2 linked regions of the Arabidopsis thaliana genome follow. The protein of the gene in region 1 interacts with the protein of each later gene in a biochemical or structural test. Each region holds a gene or a part of one and is shown in the gene's direction. Other genes may lie near its edges.

Region 1 (6,579 bases):
CTCGTCTTCTTCGTCTTCGATCTTCTCTGGTGAAGCAAACAAAACACGATCTGAGATTCTGAGAGAAGAGCTGAGAATCCGATAATTTAGTGGAAATTATTTTATTTTTTTTATTTAAAAAATATCTGAAACCTTCTGAGTCAGAGAGAGGCTTTGATGTGTTCCCTTTATAAAACCCTAATTCGTTTGTCTATTAAACCCAAACTAAAACCCTAGCTACCTTGTTCTCCTCACCGCTTCTTTCTTCCCTGAACTCAGAACTTAGAACAAAGAACTCTCGTAGACGAAGAAGAAGATGACGGTAGAAGGAGTGAACCCTAAGGCGTATCCGTTAGCTGATTCTCAGTTATCGATAACGATTCTTGATCTTGTTCAACAAGCTACGAATTACAAACAGTTAAAGAAAGGAGCTAATGAAGCTACCAAGACATTGAACCGTGGGATCTCTGAGTTCATTGTTATGGCTGCTGATACTGAGCCTCTCGAGATTCTTCTTCATCTTCCTCTTCTTGCTGAAGATAAGGTATTTGAATTTCTTCTTATCGTTTCACTTTCTTATGAATCTCAATTAGTAGTTTCTTTGGCTCTTGCAAGTTTTACTGGATTCACTTGGGTATCTTCTTCATATGATAAAAAGATAAGACTTTATTGGCTATTAGACTCCAGTTTTGAGATTGTGATTGTTGATGTTCGTAGTAATCACTTAGGTAATTTAGTTTATGAATGTAGGAGACAGATTCAATTAGGATTTTTAGGCATTGAGAAGTTCGTTTGTTCTGTATTAACGTAGCTTGTGTAATGAGTTAAATCTGTGATTCTTGGTCTTAGGATTGACAATATCATTACTTTAGCTTCTGAGTATTATGCTCTGTTGATTCATGAATGTTTAGTTGACAGTTCCCATTCAAGTTTTTTTTTTTTGGCCTATTTAAATTTGGCTGCACAAACATATCTTTATTTGTATTCAGCAAATCTGTTTCACAAGCAACATTCTGATTCTGATTCTTTTACTAATTAGTTGTTCTCTCTCTGGCTTTGAACTATTGCAGAATGTGCCGTATGTGTTTGTGCCATCGAAACAAGCCCTTGGAAGAGCATGTGATGTAACCAGACCCGTGATCGCTTGTTCCGTTACATCAAACGAGGCTAGTCAGTTGAAATCTCAAATTCAGCACCTTAAGGATGCCATTGAGAAGCTCCTCATCTAGATTCTTGGTGGAATGAATGAATGATGGGTCTCTCCATTTATGAAGAGGCTTGGACTGAAGTGAGTTTATGTGCAACTTTTTAGCCTATGAGAAAAACAAAAAACTTGTGAACGAATCCTATCCTTTTTGAAGATTGTAATGCTTTTTATTTGATATTGTGTTGGTGCCAATGCATTTATGAACAACAAGAATCCTTTTAAAGTGAGTTTCTTCAATTTGGTTATTTGTTTGGTGACTTTGGTCTTTTGTTGCATAATGGGATAATTGATATGTAATATTGGGAGCCAAATGAAGCACGTAGAACCTATCATAAGTAGGATACAAACTTTCTCCTTCTGCTACTAAGCACAAGATATTAAAACTAGCATGTTTGTATCAAAAATATAAATATTGGATATGGTTAAATGAATGTTATTAAGTTGAGACCCAAAAAAAAACACTTGTATTCTTTGGATCAGTCAAAAGGGTAAATCAGTCTTTTAACATGTAAGTCTTCGGACTCACTATTTATAACCTCCTCTTCATTAGAGATCCCAAAGCTTAACATTCTCTCAAAATCATTCGCAAACAAAACTCTGAATTGCAATCTCAAATCTCAGAAAGGTAATAAGAACCCTAGATTCCAACAACACAATCGTTAGATTTTATCTTGGATTCCTTCTGTTAGCTTCGCAATTAGATTTTCGAAAATCGTGAAGCCCTAAATTCTCTCTTCTTTTACGGTTTCAGAAAGAAGACGATTTCCTTGGGATCAGAACATTATGTCGAACTGTTTGCAATTGAATACGTCTTGTGTTGGTTGCGGATCACAATCCGATTTATATGGAAGCTCTTGTAGACACATGACGTTGTGTTTGAAGTGTGGTAGAACCATGGCGCAGAATAAATCTAAGTGTCACGAGTGTGGAACCGTCGTTACACGTTTGATTCGGGTTAGATTTTGTGTGTTTCTTCAAACAATTTTGAGTTTCTGAAGAAAATTTTGATAAAATTGTTGTTTGGGTGAAATTGTTTAGGAGTATAACGTTCGTGCTGCGGCACCTACGGATAAGAACTACTTCATTGGTAGATTTGTGACTGGTCTTCCTAATTTCAAGAAAGGTTCTGAGAATAAATGGTCTCTTCGTAAAGATATACCGCAAGGTCGTCAGTTTACAGATGCACAACGGGTAATTTTGTGTTTGTTTTGGATCATACCAATCATTTTGATGGTTTTTACAATGAGTTTTGTGTGGATTCTAATTTTTGTAGGAGAAGTTAAAGAACAAACCTTGGATCTTGGAAGATGAAACTGGACAGTTTCAGTACCAGGGACATCTTGAAGGCTCTCAGTCTGCTACTTACTATCTCTTAGTGATGCAGAACAAAGAGTTTGTTGCGATTCCTGCTGGTTCTTGGTATGGAGAATCAAATTACCGTTGCTTCTTCTGTTGTTGTATTATCCGAATTCTGATTATTTTTGTGCTGTGTTAGGTATAACTTCAACAAGGTTGCACAGTATAAGCAACTTACATTGGAAGAAGCGGAAGAGAAGATGAAGAATCGGAGAAAAACGGCTGATGGTTATCAAAGGTGGATGATGAAAGCTGCGAATAATGGTCCAGCGTTGTTTGGAGAAGTGGATAATGAAAAGGAGAGCGGTGGAACCAGTGGAGGTGGTGGTAGGGGTCGTAAGAAGTCATCAGGCGGTGATGAAGAGGAAGGAAATGTTTCTGACAGAGGGGATGAAGATGAAGAGGAAGAGGCGTCACGGAAAAGTAGACTTGGACTTAATAGAAAGAGTAATGATGATGATGATGAAGAAGGTCCAAGGGGTGGTGATCTTGACATGGATGATGATGACATTGAGAAGGGTGAGTGATCTATTACCAAATGATCGTCAAGAAGCTTAAGAATGACTTTAGCATTTTCGTCAATAGATTGACATGATTGTTCTTCATTGTCTATTTAACAAAACTGCTGAAATGTCTGTAAATTATAATGCATTCAGGGGATGACTGGGAGCACGAGGAAATTTTCACGGATGATGATGAAGCAGTCGGTAATGATCCTGAGGAACGTGAAGACCTTCTGGCTCCTGAAATTCCTGCTCCTCCAGAAATAAAGCAGGTCTGTACTTACTATAGTGCTTTACTTCCAATGTACAATTTTCTGTGAAACTAACTGTAGTAATTTCTGTTGGTAATCCCATTTATATGTTATCCAAGTTTCAATGTTTACTAATTACAGGATTGTTGTGCCTTTACTTCCTATGAGGTCGTAACTTTCTTTTGACATCCCTTGCAGGATGAGGATGATGAAGAAAATGAAGAAGAGGAGGGAGGTTTGAGCAAATCTGGTAAAGAGTTGAAGAAACTGCTTGGTAAGGCTAATGGTTTGGACGAATCTGATGAAGACGATGATGATGATTCTGATGATGTAAGCCCTCTTTTGACATATTTTACTTCTTAAAAAATTGTTAAATTTTCAATCAAACTCATTTTATCTGGTTTGGATACACGCAAATCATCATGAATGTCATTCTTAGGAGGAGGAGACAAACTACGGTACAGTTACGAACTCAAAACAGAAGGAGGCGGCGAAAGAAGAACCTGTTGATAATGCACCTGCAAAACCTGCACCATCTGGACCTCCTCGTGGAACACCTCCTGCAAAACCATCCAAGGGAAAGAGAAAACTAAACGACGGCGATTCTAAAAAGCCTAGCAGCTCTGTTCAAAAGAAAGTGAAGACTGAAAATGTAAGATACTTGATTTCTATGTTTGAGAAAGAGTTGATCGTTTGTGCTGGATTTGATTTCTAACAAACAGGTTTCTGTAATCTTTGTAAGCAGGATCCGAAATCTTCTTTGAAAGAAGAGAGAGCAAACACAGTTTCCAAATCCAACACACCAACAAAAGCTGTGAAAGCTGAACCAGCTTCAGCTCCTGCATCATCATCCTCAGCTGCGACTGGGCCTGTGACTGAAGATGAAATCCGCGCTGTTCTGATGGAAAAGAAGCAAGTCACTACACAGGATCTTGTTTCCAGGTTTAAGGCAAGACTTAAGACCAAAGAGGTAATATTTAGTCTAATATTCCTTCTTGAAGTGACCATATGGTTTTTATCTGAGCTTATTCTGGACAAATCAATCGTTTGTGTTATATAACTGTGTCTTTTTACAGGACAAGAATGCCTTTGCCAATATTCTGAGGAAGATCTCAAAGATACAGAAGAACGCTGGTTCTCAAAACTTCGTCGTTTTGAGAGAAAAGTGAGGACTTCCTGTTTTCACAGCTAACTCTTTTCAAAAAGATTTCAAGATATCTCATGAGCTAGTTAAAATAAGAATGTTTTTCTCATTTCTTGATTTCAGATGTTTAAAGTTGGACCTATTTTTTTCCCATGACACTATTAGTAATTGAAAATCTTCAAATGTTTTATTCGAAAAAAATGTTTTATGCGAAGGTTTTCAAAAATGGAATGTTCCAGTGAAAGCCCAATTGTGAAGAGGAAAATAGTAACCATAAAAAAGCCCATTCGTAGGGATCCTATTGTGATTAGGATTTACTGAGATTCGGATAAATACAATTAGGTTTCCAACTGCTTATATGATGGAGAGATAAGATCGTTGGGACTCTTATATAAAGAAACAGAGTTTCTCCTAAGACGAGATTCTACTACTTTTCTCTCCAAAAAAAAGAAAATCAGAGTCATTAAAAGGACAATATAAGAAACTTTGCCTTGGTGAGCAAGCAACGCTACAATATAAAAGGCGAAGTATTATTGTTCTCTCCTTTGTTTTACAGATGTCAGCCTAAACCAGGGAAGAGAGAAAGTCGTGTGAACAAGCTCAACATCCGATCTAATCTTCAACCACGCAAGATGGAACTTGTGACTGAAGACGAAATCCGCAAAGTTCTGATGGAGAAGAAGCAATTAACTACACTGGAACTTGTTATGAGGTTTAAGGAAAGACTTACAACCACAGAGGACAAGGATTCCTTTTCCCATATTCTCAAGAAGATCGCAAAGTTACAGAAGAACCCTGGTTCTGAAAAGTTTGTTGTTGTTTTGAGAGATAATGTTACTCCGCTTGCTTCTGATCTAACTCGTTTATCTATTTCATGATCTCATGTGAATTTAGTAATAATAATAAGAATTTTTCTCGTGTCTTGTTTTCAAAAGGTTTTCAACCGGACCGATTTGGTTCTCGGTGGTGATTTATATGTTAACACAATTACGAAAATATTAACAAAGATGACATCAGATCTTTTCGATGATAATTAATAGTTTGTGTTTTCATATAATTTTCTATTTTGTGGTAATCAACATATGTATCGACAATACAATTAATTTAACACATTTGATAATCTAATTAACACTACAGTAATATTTTGGCTAAAAATAGGTTATATTTTGTAACACGTCTTAGTAAGACGGTCTTACAATATCTTTTTTTTTTTTTAACACGTCTCACATTATCTTACCGAGTTTAAATTTGCAAGCTTACAATTACATGCACCAACAATGTCAAATACAAATCAAAACTGAAACATTTTTTTTTCTTTCTAAAAGTGATGTACTTTCAAAAGAAATCAAGTAATTAATAGTTTCAGTGTTTACTATTAAAAAAATGTCAAATCATCTTTGTCAAATTTTAGTTTACTTTTAACACGTGTTAGAATTGAAAAACTATAAATCTATATATGTCATGATAACATCAAACTATTTATTAAACAAAATTAGTGTTATTTAGTAAAGACAAAACATATTTAATTAATTGTTAATCTCACAATATTTATGAATTAAAGAAAATTGTATCTGCTTATTATCATTATATATACTTTTTTTTTTTGGACGAATTGTTATTATATATACCCTTAACACATAAACAAGGAGATAATAGAAACCTGACATAAATATTTACAGAGTAATTAAGGAACATTAAAAACCGATTTTCATATATATATTGTGTTTAACTCATATCATATGGCAGGTAATAGGTATTTTGAAGATCAGCCGTATGAGGTAGAAAACCCTTTTAACATCATGATAACGTTGTCACCATTTGACATAGATTTGAGTACTACGATAATGATGCCAAAAACGTTACTAGAGGCCAACTTATTTCGTTTCATGGATATAAGTTATCTCGTCGGATTGTTACAAGTTCCTAACAAGCCAAAGGTGATTGAACTTTTTGATATTGATACCAAAATTACAACATTTCTTACCATAAGAAGAGATGGAGATAATTTCAAATTCCATGGATGGAATAATATTCTCGAACGAAAACATTACAAGGCAGGCGATGTTATTGCATTTTGGTGGGATCTTCATCACACTAGACTTAATTTCAAACATGTTGCTTAGTTGATGGAGCGGATCC
Region 2 (11,031 bases), on another chromosome or scaffold:
TTAAGTAGGCTCAGAATTATGCCAACAAAAGATAGTTTCAGAGTTTATTGCAACAAAAAATAGTTTACAAAAAGGGTCCCAAAACCCATTTAATCATTTAAATGATTTAGGGTACTGTTACTAATTATGATATGTGACTGTTGAAAACTTCTACAATGTTTATAGCATTTTTTGTAATGGAACTCCCAAAAACCCTGAGGGCTCTTAAAGATCACTAGGTTATTAAAGCAGAGACTCACTAATATTGTCATTATCTTAAGCTGACAAAAACGTAGAAAAATCCAAAAAAATAAATGGCGGAGGAAATTGACCAAAACGCATATATAAGGATTATGGAGTAAAAGCAACTTATGGTAGTTGGAGAGAAATTAACCAATAGAAATACTCAAAGGGCGCGTTTATTGCCATAATCTACGCCCCCTCCATATTTACACACAACCATATCATAATATTACCAAATATGAAAATTATATGTGCATTATCTTTATTACATAAACAATAAATACAGTTTATTATTAATATAAGAAAAAGATAATTTTTGATTTTATTTTTAGAGTGATCTTGGCCGTAGAAAATGAGGTGATGAAAGTGATGTGTCAAAAAAATCAGGAAATAGCCATATCAAGCATGTAATCCCTAATTACGGTCTAAAGGAATTAAAGATTACGGTCTACTTAAATTCAACATATCTACATGAACCTTATGAAAGGCTTAAGGGACGAAATTAAAATAAAATGATAACACAAGGGTCAATTTTATCTACAGTCACCAAATTAAAAATCAGATTAAGATACATTAAAAAGTCATTATCTCACAAAATAAATCTTTTCTTTGCTCTTTCATTTGTAGCTCCTCTCTCTCTCCGGCGCTAACGGGATGTCCTCACCATAACGCCGTTAAGTCTGGAACCCGTTTGAACGGAATTATCAAAACGGGAAGGAATATTCCGTTTGAATGGCTCTGGAACAGTTAGGATTAGGAGTGAGCGCCGTTGACGGTGGAGAGAACAGTAGCGCGCCGTCAAATGACGGTGGAGATGACGGCGTTAAGACGGCGAGACTTCCTCGTTGGACGAGACAAGAGATTCTGGTTCTGATTCAAGGGAAGAGAGTGGCGGAGAACAGAGTCCGGCGAGGGAGAGCGGCGGGTATGGCTCTCGGGTCGGGTCAAATGGAGCCTAAATGGGCTTCTGTTTCGTCTTACTGTAAACGTCACGGTGTAAATCGTGGGCCGGTTCAGTGCCGGAAAAGATGGAGCAATCTCGCCGGAGATTATAAGAAGATTAAAGAATGGGAGTCTCAGATTAAGGAAGAGACTGAGTCCTATTGGGTTATGAGGAATGATGTTCGTAGAGAGAAGAAGCTTCCTGGTTTTTTCGATAAGGAGGTTTATGATATTGTTGACGGTGGTGTGATTCCTCCGGCGGTTCCGGTTCTTTCGCTTGGATTGGCTCCGGCGTCAGACGAGGGATTGTTGTCTGATTTAGATCGGAGAGAAAGTCCTGAGAAGTTGAATTCTACTCCGGTGGCTAAATCAGTTACTGGTAAAATTCAGATCAAAGTTTAAGTTTTTATTTTGTATGTTCATCAGAATGATTCCATTTCTTATGAAGTTCAATTTTTTTGATGAAGATGTTATAGACAAAGAGAAGCAAGAAGCTTGTGTAGCAGATCAAGGTTTGTTTATCTCTCTGTGTGTATTTGCTTGATCTATTGCTCTATATGCTAATCTCAAACTAGTTTTAGAGCTCTAGAGTGTGTTTCTCTTGAGTCTTGACTATGTAGTTATGTTGTCATGTAGATAAATGATGTTTTCGTATTCTAAAATGCATCTCAAATTGTGTTATAAAAGTAGTTTAACAATCTTCCCTATGGTGTGTGATCTTTTCGTTTATGTTGAAGGGTCTCTATGTTCTTGTTTTTATACTAAAATGTTGAGTTTGAACTTGAAGGTAGAGTGAAAGAGAAACAGCCAGAAGCAGCAAACGTGGAAGGTGGATCGACATCACAAGAAGAGAGGAAGCGTAAACGGACATCTTTTGGTGAAAAGGAAGAGGAAGAAGAAGAAGGAGAAACAAAGAAGATGCAGAATCAGTTGATAGAGATACTAGAAAGAAACGGGCAGTTGTTGGCGGCACAGCTTGAGGTTCAGAATTTAAACTTAAAACTAGACAGAGAGCAAAGAAAAGATCACGGTGATAGCTTAGTCGCTGTTCTCAATAAGCTCGCTGATGCTGTGGCAAAAATCGCGGATAAGATGTAGATTTAGTAAAAGTTAGTTGTATATCACTTTGGCCATTACTTCTCATTCTTCTTCTTCCTTTTTTTTCAATCATTTATCACCATTGTTGATTGAATATTGATGCCACCACAAGAGGTTATTATACACATCTTATATAAACATTGAGATTTATACGGGTTTAGGATATCATTTGCCTTAGTGTTACCTTTTGACTGATTTGAACATCTTGATGTGTTGATGATTTGTTGCATAGCATGAAATTGAGTTTTCATCTTTCTTGCTTCCCCTAACAACAGGATTAATAACATAATATTAAATGGTATACGTAGTCATATGACCCTTGAACATATACAAATAGTTACTCAATTGGTTAGAAAATGACTTTGGTATATGCAGATTGAAGATCTGCCACTTTATGTTGTTTGGTAATCTGATAGCTACTTTGAAAACAATTTCTGTATTTTAACTTCTTCTTTTATAATCTATAGAAATTAAATTGAAACCGTATCTAACTCGAACCAATTTTTTTGTCTGGATTGTAGTGCAACATGAACTATATTTAACATATTATCGTGAGCTTGAATTTGAAACCAAAAGTTGTACTAATACCAAAACTCAGTGATGCAAAATATCAAATAAGTTCCCATATTACTTTGGATTATCTTTCACAAAATAGTTGTTATGCACATAATTCCAGTCCAAATTTGTTTTTTTCGTCAGTTATAATAAAAAGACAAGCAACAGTTTCATAAAAGCCGCACGACATATTTGACCACTGAAATTTATGTACGAACTTCGACTTCCATAGAGGTAAGTTAACTGACAAACTTTTCGAGTCAAAAACTTTGGATCATCAGACACAAAACTAGTAAAGAAAATTCACAGAGATGTCTACTTTCGTCATTTAAAATACCCCTCATCTGGCGCCAATCACACGTCGCGCTGACATAATTTACCTCGTTCGGATCGCTGACGTGTACGGTCTAGATTAAACTCCTTCTCTCAACTAGATTCTCCTTCTTCTTCTCTCTCTCTCCCTTCGTCTATATTTCACATTCTCTTCAAGTTTCGGCCTTCGGAGAAAATAATAAGCATCTCAAAATTTGGATCTGGAGAAGAAAATTTGAAAACTCTCTTGTTCTCTCAAAGGTGGTGGTAGATCTCGAATTGGGAATTTTCGAAATTGTGAATCTTTGAAAAAAAAAGAGTTAAATTGACAAAACATTTCCTTAACTTGAATCTCTGTTTTTTGAATCGTTTAAATTAGAGAAGAACCCTAATTTTTTCTGTTTTGGAGATCTCTTCTCTGGACCGGGGACTAAAGTGGGCGATTTTCGAATTCAAGGTTTTTGTTTCTGAATCGGGTTTGGATTCGTTTTTGAGCAAAGTTTTGAGATTTTTACATGCTTGTAGCTCGATCTGGTTGTTCTAGAACCCTAATTCGAATGGGCAACGATGAAAACTTGATGGTAATGGTGGATGTTGAGGAAGGTGAGATTCCTGATTCTGTCAACACTGAGATTGAAGTTAAGCACAAGAGTACTACTACTACGGCCGATGTTGGCGGAGACGTCGATGTTGGGGTTGTGGCTGGAGGAAGAGGAGGAGGTGGTGGTGGTTCTAATGGCAACTCTAGGGTTTGGACAATGGAGGAGTTGATTTCTCAGTATCCTGCTTACCGTCCATATGCGAATTCGGGTTTATCTAATTTAGCTTGGGCTCGAGCTGTGCAGAACAAACCTTTTAATGAAGGTTTGGTAATGGATTATGAACCAAGAGAGAGTGATAAGATTGTGATTGAAGATAGTGATGATGAGAAAGAAGAAGGTGAGTTGGAGGAAGGTGAAATTGATTTGGTCGACAATGCTTCTGATGACAATTTGGTTGAGAAGGATACTGAATCTGTTGTGTTGATAAGTGCTGATAAAGTTGAAGATGATCGAATTCTAAAGGAGAGAGATTTGGAGAAGAAAGTGAAACTAATTCGTGGTGTTTTGGAGAGTACTTCGTTGGTAGAAGCACAGACGTAAGACTATCCTGAGAATGGAGAGATCAGATGATGATGATGAAAAAAATTAAAACATCTGTCAGAGTTTGATGAGTGAAGTTTGATTTTTTTTTCTTTTCATGTTTTGTTCTGTTTCGTTTCAGCGGATTTGAAGGAGTTTGTTCCAGAATATTGGGGGCGTTAGAGTCTTTGCGAGAGCTGGTTTCAGATAATGATGATTTTCCGAAGAGGGATACTTTAGTTCAATTGTCATTTGCTTCTCTTCAAACCATTAACTATGTATGTGCCACTCAAGATCCCTTCCCTCAATCTTCTGTTACGTTTACGGTTTTATGTAACTAATCTATTATCTTTCAGGTGTTTTGCTCGATGAACAATATTTCCAAGGAGCGTAATAAGGAGACTATGTCAAGGTTGTTGTGAATCTGTGTTTTTACTGTGCCAGCCTTTGATTAAAGATGCTTCTTGGAGTCCTTTGATTGCTCACATTATTTTTGGTTTTTCTTGTGCAGATTGCTGACTCTTGTAAATGACCATTTTTCCCAATTTCTCTCATTCAACCAGAAAAATGAGGTGCGTTTCCTTTGGTTTACCTGTTGAAGTAGCACAAGTCAAAATCTTTTCCACTGTTCCAAACATTGGGATGAGTGCCTTCTCGTCTTACATAAGTACATGTCTTGGTTTTGCAGATAGAGACCATGAATCAGGATTTAAGCCGTTCTGCTATTGCAGTTTTTGCTGGAACCAGCAGTGAAGAGAATGTTAATCAAATGACTCAGCCGAGTAATGGTGATTCTTTTCTTGCCAAAAAGCTGACTTCAGAAAGTACACATCGAGGAGCCGCCTACTTAAGGAGTAGGTTGCCTATGCTGCCTCTTCTAGACCTTCATAAGGATCATGATGCAGACAGCCTTCCGTCGCCCACAAGGGAAACAACACCAAGTTTACCTGTAAATGGTCGCCATACAATGGTTAGACCAGGTTTTCCCGTTGGTAGAGAGAGCCAAACGACTGAGGGTGCCAAAGTCTATTCATATGAGAGTGATGCCCGTAAAGCAGTTTCTACCTACCAGCAAAAATTTGGTCTTAATTCAGTGTTTAAGACAGATGACCTTCCAAGCCCAACCCCATCAGGAGAACCTAATGATGGCAATGGAGACGTTGGTGGAGAGGTTTCCAGTTCTGTTGTTAAGAGCTCGAACCCGGGGAGTCACCTAATTTATGGGCAAGACGTTCCTCTGCCCTCCAATTTTAATTCTAGAAGCATGCCTGTTGCAAATTCTGTTTCTAGCACTGTTCCACCACATCATCTGTCAATTCATGCTATTTCTGCACCAACTGCCTCTGATCAGACAGTGAAACCTTCTGCAAAGAGTCGAGATCCAAGACTAAGGCTTGCGAAACCTGATGCTGCCAATGTAACCATTTATTCGTACTCGTCTGGCGACGCTAGAAATCTTTCAAAAGTAGAGCTTTCTGCAGACTTGGTGAACCCAAGAAAACAAAAAGCCGCTGATGAATTTTTAATTGATGGGCCTGCATGGAAAAGACAAAAGAGTGATACGGATGCACCAAAAGCAGCTGGAACTGGTGGCTGGCTAGAGGATACAGAATCATCGGGACTTCTAAAACTGGAATCCAAGCCCAGGCTAATTGAGAACGGTGTAACATCTATGACATCAAGTGTTATGCCCACGAGTGCTGTTTCTGTGAGCCAAAAAGTACGGACAGCTTCAACTGATACTGCATCATTGCAATCCCTTTTGAAGGATATTGCAGTAAATCCTACAATGCTACTGAATCTCCTGAAAATGGGAGAAAGACAAAAGGTACCTGAAAAAGCTATTCAGAAACCCATGGATCCAAGAAGAGCAGCACAACTCCCTGGCTCTTCCGTACAACCAGGGGTATCAACACCGCTTAGTATACCTGCATCAAATGCTTTAGCTGCTAATTCTTTAAACTCAGGAGTACTTCAGGATTCTTCCCAAAACGCCCCTGCAGTGAGTATCCTTTATATATAGGGATTCTAGAACCTTTTCTTTCAATTTTTTCTCCAACTATTTTTTGGTACTTTCAGGCCGAATCTGGAAGCATTCGCATGAAACCTCGTGATCCTCGCCGAATCCTGCATGGAAGTACTCTTCAAAGAACGGACTCTTCAATGGAAAAGCAGACCAAAGTGAATGATCCTTCCACTCTAGGAACCTTGACTATGAAGGGTAAGGCAGAAGATTTGGAAACACCTCCCCAGCTTGATCCACGGCAAAATATTAGCCAGAATGGTACCAGCAAAATGAAAATTTCGGGTGAACTTCTCAGTGGGAAGACACCAGACTTTTCAACACAATTCACCAAAAACCTGAAAAGTATTGCTGATATGGTTGTCGTATCACAACAACTTGGCAATCCCCCAGCAAGTATGCATTCGGTACAGCTTAAGACGGAGAGAGATGTTAAACATAATCCTTCAAATCCCAATGCCCAGGATGAGGATGTGTCAGTTTCAGCAGCATCAGTAACGGCTGCAGCTGGTCCCACTCGTTCCATGAACAGTTGGGGAGATGTGGAACACCTATTTGAAGGATATGATGACATTCAGAGAGTAGCTATTCAAAGAGAGAGAGTTCGTAGGTTAGAGGAACAGAATAAAATGTTTGCATCTCAAAAGCTCTCTCTTGTCTTGGATATAGACCACACCCTTCTCAATTCAGCTAAGGTTAGTTTATCTTCCTTCTGGTTTGATTACTTTTCTTATATTTTTTCTAAAGTTTTTGTTTCTATCGTTTTCAGTTTAATGAGGTTGAATCCCGCCACGAGGAGATATTAAGAAAGAAGGAAGAACAAGATCGTGAGAAACCATATAGACATCTCTTTCGTTTCCTGCACATGGGAATGTGGACTAAACTAAGACCAGGGATTTGGAATTTTTTGGAGAAGGTGACTTAGTTAATAATATTATCTTACTACTGTTCAACTACGTGTGGAAGACTTAAAATGTAAATATTCCTGTGAATTTCAGGCTAGCAAGCTGTACGAGTTACATCTTTACACTATGGGAAACAAATTGTATGCTACAGAGATGGCCAAGCTGCTTGATCCCAAAGGGGTTCTATTTAATGGACGGGTCATATCGAAAGGAGATGATGGAGATCCTCTTGATGGAGACGAACGAGTACCTAAGAGCAAAGATTTAGAAGGAGTTATGGGTATGGAATCGTCTGTGGTGATCATAGATGACTCTGTCCGAGTGTGGCCTCAACACAAAATGAATTTAATAGCTGTTGAAAGGTATCATCTTTCACACTATGGCTAACATGAGACCGTAGTACTTACTGTATAATATTTTCCTGCTGATGTTAATTATCTTGTTTTGCAGATATCTTTATTTCCCTTGTAGTAGACGGCAATTTGGGCTTCTTGGTCCTTCTCTTCTTGAGTTAGATCGTGATGAGGTACCTGAGGAGGGCACATTGGCATCTTCATTAGCGGTCTGCACTTTGTCTATGCACCTTGTTATGTTATTTTCTACTCTTCGTTTTGGATCTCAGCATCATCACATGGTTTCACTGTGCAGGTTATTGAGAAAATACATCAAAATTTCTTCTCGCACACTTCATTAGATGAAGTTGATGTGAGAAATATTTTAGCTTCTGAGCAACGAAAGATATTGGCTGGTTGTAGGATTGTATTTAGTCGGATAATCCCAGTGGGTGAAGCCAAACCGCACTTGCATCCCCTGTGGCAAACTGCTGAGCAGTTTGGTGCTGTCTGCACAACCCAGGTGGATGAACATGTCACTCATGTTGTCACAAATTCTCTTGGAACCGACAAGGTAAGGAAGTCTGCAAATTTTAACTGTTGGGCCACAGAAGAAATATCATTGGGGAGATTCTGAATGTGTCTGTTTGAGCAGGTAAATTGGGCACTAACCAGAGGTAGATTTGTTGTTCATCCTGGCTGGTAAGGCCCTCTTGGTCTCCTCTTAAAGATAGAAAAAAAAACTGGTCTATTCCTGATTGTAATAGTTTTCATCGTCTGAGTGTAGGGTGGAAGCATCAGCTTTTCTGTACCAGAGAGCAAATGAGAACTTATATGCCATCAACCCGTAAACCAAATCCATGATCCGCCCTCTTAAATCCCCACCATTTGGTGGAATTGAGACTTAAGAAGGCCTGAAAACCCAATAAGTCATATTGGGTTGATTAGGCTAGGCCCCGGGGTACATACACATTCTTTTGCCCCAAAAGAAGCGAATTCATTAAAATGCCAAAGGTATTGGGGGCTTTTAACAAAACGAACTCCACATTGTATCAATGGTCTAGAGTAGATCTACTTACTTTGGGATGGTGAAGGAAACTAGTCTGTCTCTGAATCTAAAAAAATAACACCAGAGAGACCCAGCATTAGAAAGTATGATGTGCCAAGGTCACGTGTCAAAGGAGAGGATCATGTTCAATTTTGGTTCTCATCTGTTGATTCATGATCGGTCAGATAAATGTTTGTTGTGGTATTTATGTCTCTTGTCGGAAGCAATTCTGATGGGGTACCAAGGCAACAGAGAAGAGAAGAAAGCTTTAATTGAAATGTTCATATGCCTTACTAATCCCCAGAATTAAATGTGGTGGAGAAACCAAATTCATTAAGTATGACAAACAGAGACCACATTAAACAGTTACTTGACGTCTAAGTTATTGGTAATGGATCATTATTAACCGTAAAACCACAATGGACTATATACTATTAAGGGTACCATCAATTGGTAAATGACTGAATGGAATTTGGCACGTCATTTCATTCTGCAGGTACTGATGCTTTTGATGAATATTTAGAACACACAAAAAAAAAACTTTTAAGAACTCAGAAATTAATCCTCAGGATCTCTCTATGCTTTTGCACCATTTGGGTAATCGATTCGATTATGTGAAGACTATAATAACCAAAAATGCTAATTTTAAAAGACCAAAATGATTGTATTTCTAGTGAAAGTCAAATCTTCCATATAACAAAATCTTGCACGCAGCCTCTACCGAGTTGATGATTTGGAGTTTGAAATTAATGTAATACCTTGGTTTAACAAATTCAATATATATAGTATATATTCTATTAAGGGTGAATCCTTCCGAGAGTATCTTTGCTAAATTTATCATGAATATCAAATATATCATAGTATTATCCTATTGTTAGCATATATTTGATACACTAAAGATAAAGAGAAAAGGGAGAGACAAAAGGTATGAAATTGGTGATACCACATAAGAAGTGGTTGTGTTATAGGCATGCGGCTCTTTAATTTAATAGTCCCCACCACATCATACACTTTTGCCCCATTTCTCGAATCTTAATCAAACAAGCTAGCTTTTGCTAACTATGGGAGAAGGTGGTCTTGTGAATCATATCACATATTGATTTCTAATTATGTTAATGAACTTTTCTTCCAAAGTTTAGACCCTTTTCAATCTGACCTAAGTCTTTTTGTGTAACTTCCAAACCAAATTAGCATGGTATATTATATACAAACGCACATCAAGATGGTAGTAACACAAAAGTGTCGTAGGATTGAAAGACACAACTTTTTGGTCTTGGGATTGTTTTTTTGTTTTGTGTGTGTGTGGATCTTACTGTTTAGCAGGGATATCCAATTAAGTACAAATAACTCAATATTAATCACATGTTCATAGAAAACTATAATTCTTTTCCCCTGTCTAAAGTTTACAGATTTAGCTGTTTCAAAATGTACATTATTCAATAATACTATGTACATCATTCTTAAAACAAAGAGCAGGTCCATGATAACTCAAATTTGAATCCAATAAAGTTAAGATATTGAAAAGCACCACTTGGCTTAAGTAATTAAACAAATGCAAAGCCAAGAGACCTTAAAACCTCAAGGCAGATAAAGCAACAGAGAGATCTGTCGAGATGAGTTAGTCTGTTTTACAGAGAAGATTAATCTTTATTTATCACTCAATGGTTTTAAACTGTAGTGATTCAGATAGACAAAATAAATATAAAAAAATTGTAACAAATAGATTTTATGGAAATAGTTTGGTTTACATTGGATTGTTCTTTTTCGTTTTTCGGTTACCATTTGAACCGAATATATTTTTAACACATAAGAACCGAAAGTGTGAATGTGTGTGCGCATTTCTCCTTGTAATTCGTGTATTAAAGAACACAATGTAATAATTATTTTGTTGCTAAAAAAAGTGATAGTACTTAAAACTTAGTTAGTAAAGGTGTTTGCCAAAAAAAAAAAAGTTAGTTAAGGTAAAAGGGAATTGAGTATGGAAAATGGAAGATCAGAGACGAGAGGTGAGAAGGTGGGGATGGGCCAGTAACACTCTTTTAGCCAACCTATGGCTATAAAGGCAAAAGTTGTTTTCAGTTTCAGACCAAATTGAATTTGTCTTTTACCCATTTCTACCTCTCTATTTCATTTCCCTAACAACTTAAATTGTTATAATTCATTTTTCTATGGTCAAGAAAGATAATGCATTTAGGCTGTGAATGGAGCATGCGGAGCAGGAGGATCCAGTTGCAAGATGGGGTGGATTATTGATTATTTGTTGCCATTTACATAAGTTATGTTCTCTAGAGTGTGTTTAGGAAAATAAACTGACTTGTCAAACATGTCATTCTTTCTTAAACCTTGTTCGCATCCGCGGTCCATCAATAAATGATCCAAATAGTATTGGATCAAGTTAGCAGAGAATAAAACGCAAAATCTTACGTTAACTCTATTTTGTACGGTGTAACTTTCAAAATTTGGTGTAGTATTT

What was found.
Region 2: the proteins of RAP74 (region 1) and CPL3 form a complex in vitro, tested with the Arabidopsis thaliana proteins (one study listed by BioGRID).

What each region holds. Positions count from the first base shown.
Region 1 is NC_003075.7:7,453,001-7,459,579, forward strand, and holds RAP74 (transcription initiation factor IIF subunit alpha RAP74), read left to right. Parts: upstream 1-1,738; 5' UTR 1,739-1,811; intron 1,812-1,937; 5' UTR 1,938-1,969; coding exon 1,970-2,140; intron 2,141-2,224; coding exon 2,225-2,377; intron 2,378-2,459; coding exon 2,460-2,605; intron 2,606-2,681; coding exon 2,682-3,061; intron 3,062-3,198; coding exon 3,199-3,317; intron 3,318-3,494; coding exon 3,495-3,626; intron 3,627-3,735; coding exon 3,736-3,948; intron 3,949-4,041; coding exon 4,042-4,266; intron 4,267-4,372; coding exon 4,373-4,461; coding exon of another isoform or gene 4,462-4,465; exon of another isoform or gene 4,466-4,996; coding exon 4,997-5,318; 3' UTR 5,319-5,355; downstream 5,356-6,579. Other genes in the region: AT4G12600 (Ribosomal protein L7Ae/L30e/S12e/Gadd45 family protein), read left to right, coding at 296-688, 1,050-1,208; AT4G12617 (B3 domain protein), read left to right, coding at 6,180-6,563. UniProt on the Arabidopsis thaliana protein: TFIIF is a general transcription initiation factor that binds to RNA polymerase II and helps to recruit it to the initiation complex in collaboration with TFIIB. It promotes transcription elongation.
Region 2 is NC_003071.7:14,201,411-14,212,441, reverse strand, and holds CPL3 (C-terminal domain phosphatase-like 3), read left to right. Parts: upstream 1-3,249; 5' UTR 3,250-3,644; coding exon 3,645-4,267; exon of another isoform or gene 4,268-4,392; coding exon 4,393-4,528; intron 4,529-4,606; coding exon 4,607-4,662; intron 4,663-4,761; coding exon 4,762-4,822; intron 4,823-4,938; coding exon 4,939-6,252; intron 6,253-6,329; coding exon 6,330-6,968; intron 6,969-7,042; coding exon 7,043-7,189; intron 7,190-7,271; coding exon 7,272-7,540; intron 7,541-7,628; coding exon 7,629-7,740; intron 7,741-7,826; coding exon 7,827-8,084; intron 8,085-8,165; coding exon 8,166-8,212; intron 8,213-8,297; coding exon 8,298-8,361; 3' UTR 8,362-9,041; downstream 9,042-11,031. Other genes in the region: AT2G33550 (Homeodomain-like superfamily protein), read left to right, coding at 955-1,543, 1,632-1,676, 1,952-2,262. UniProt on the Arabidopsis thaliana protein: Completely dephosphorylates 'Ser-2', and partially 'Ser-5' and 'Ser-7' of the heptad repeats YSPTSPS in the C-terminal domain (CTD) of the largest RNA polymerase II subunit (RPB1). Involved in defense response.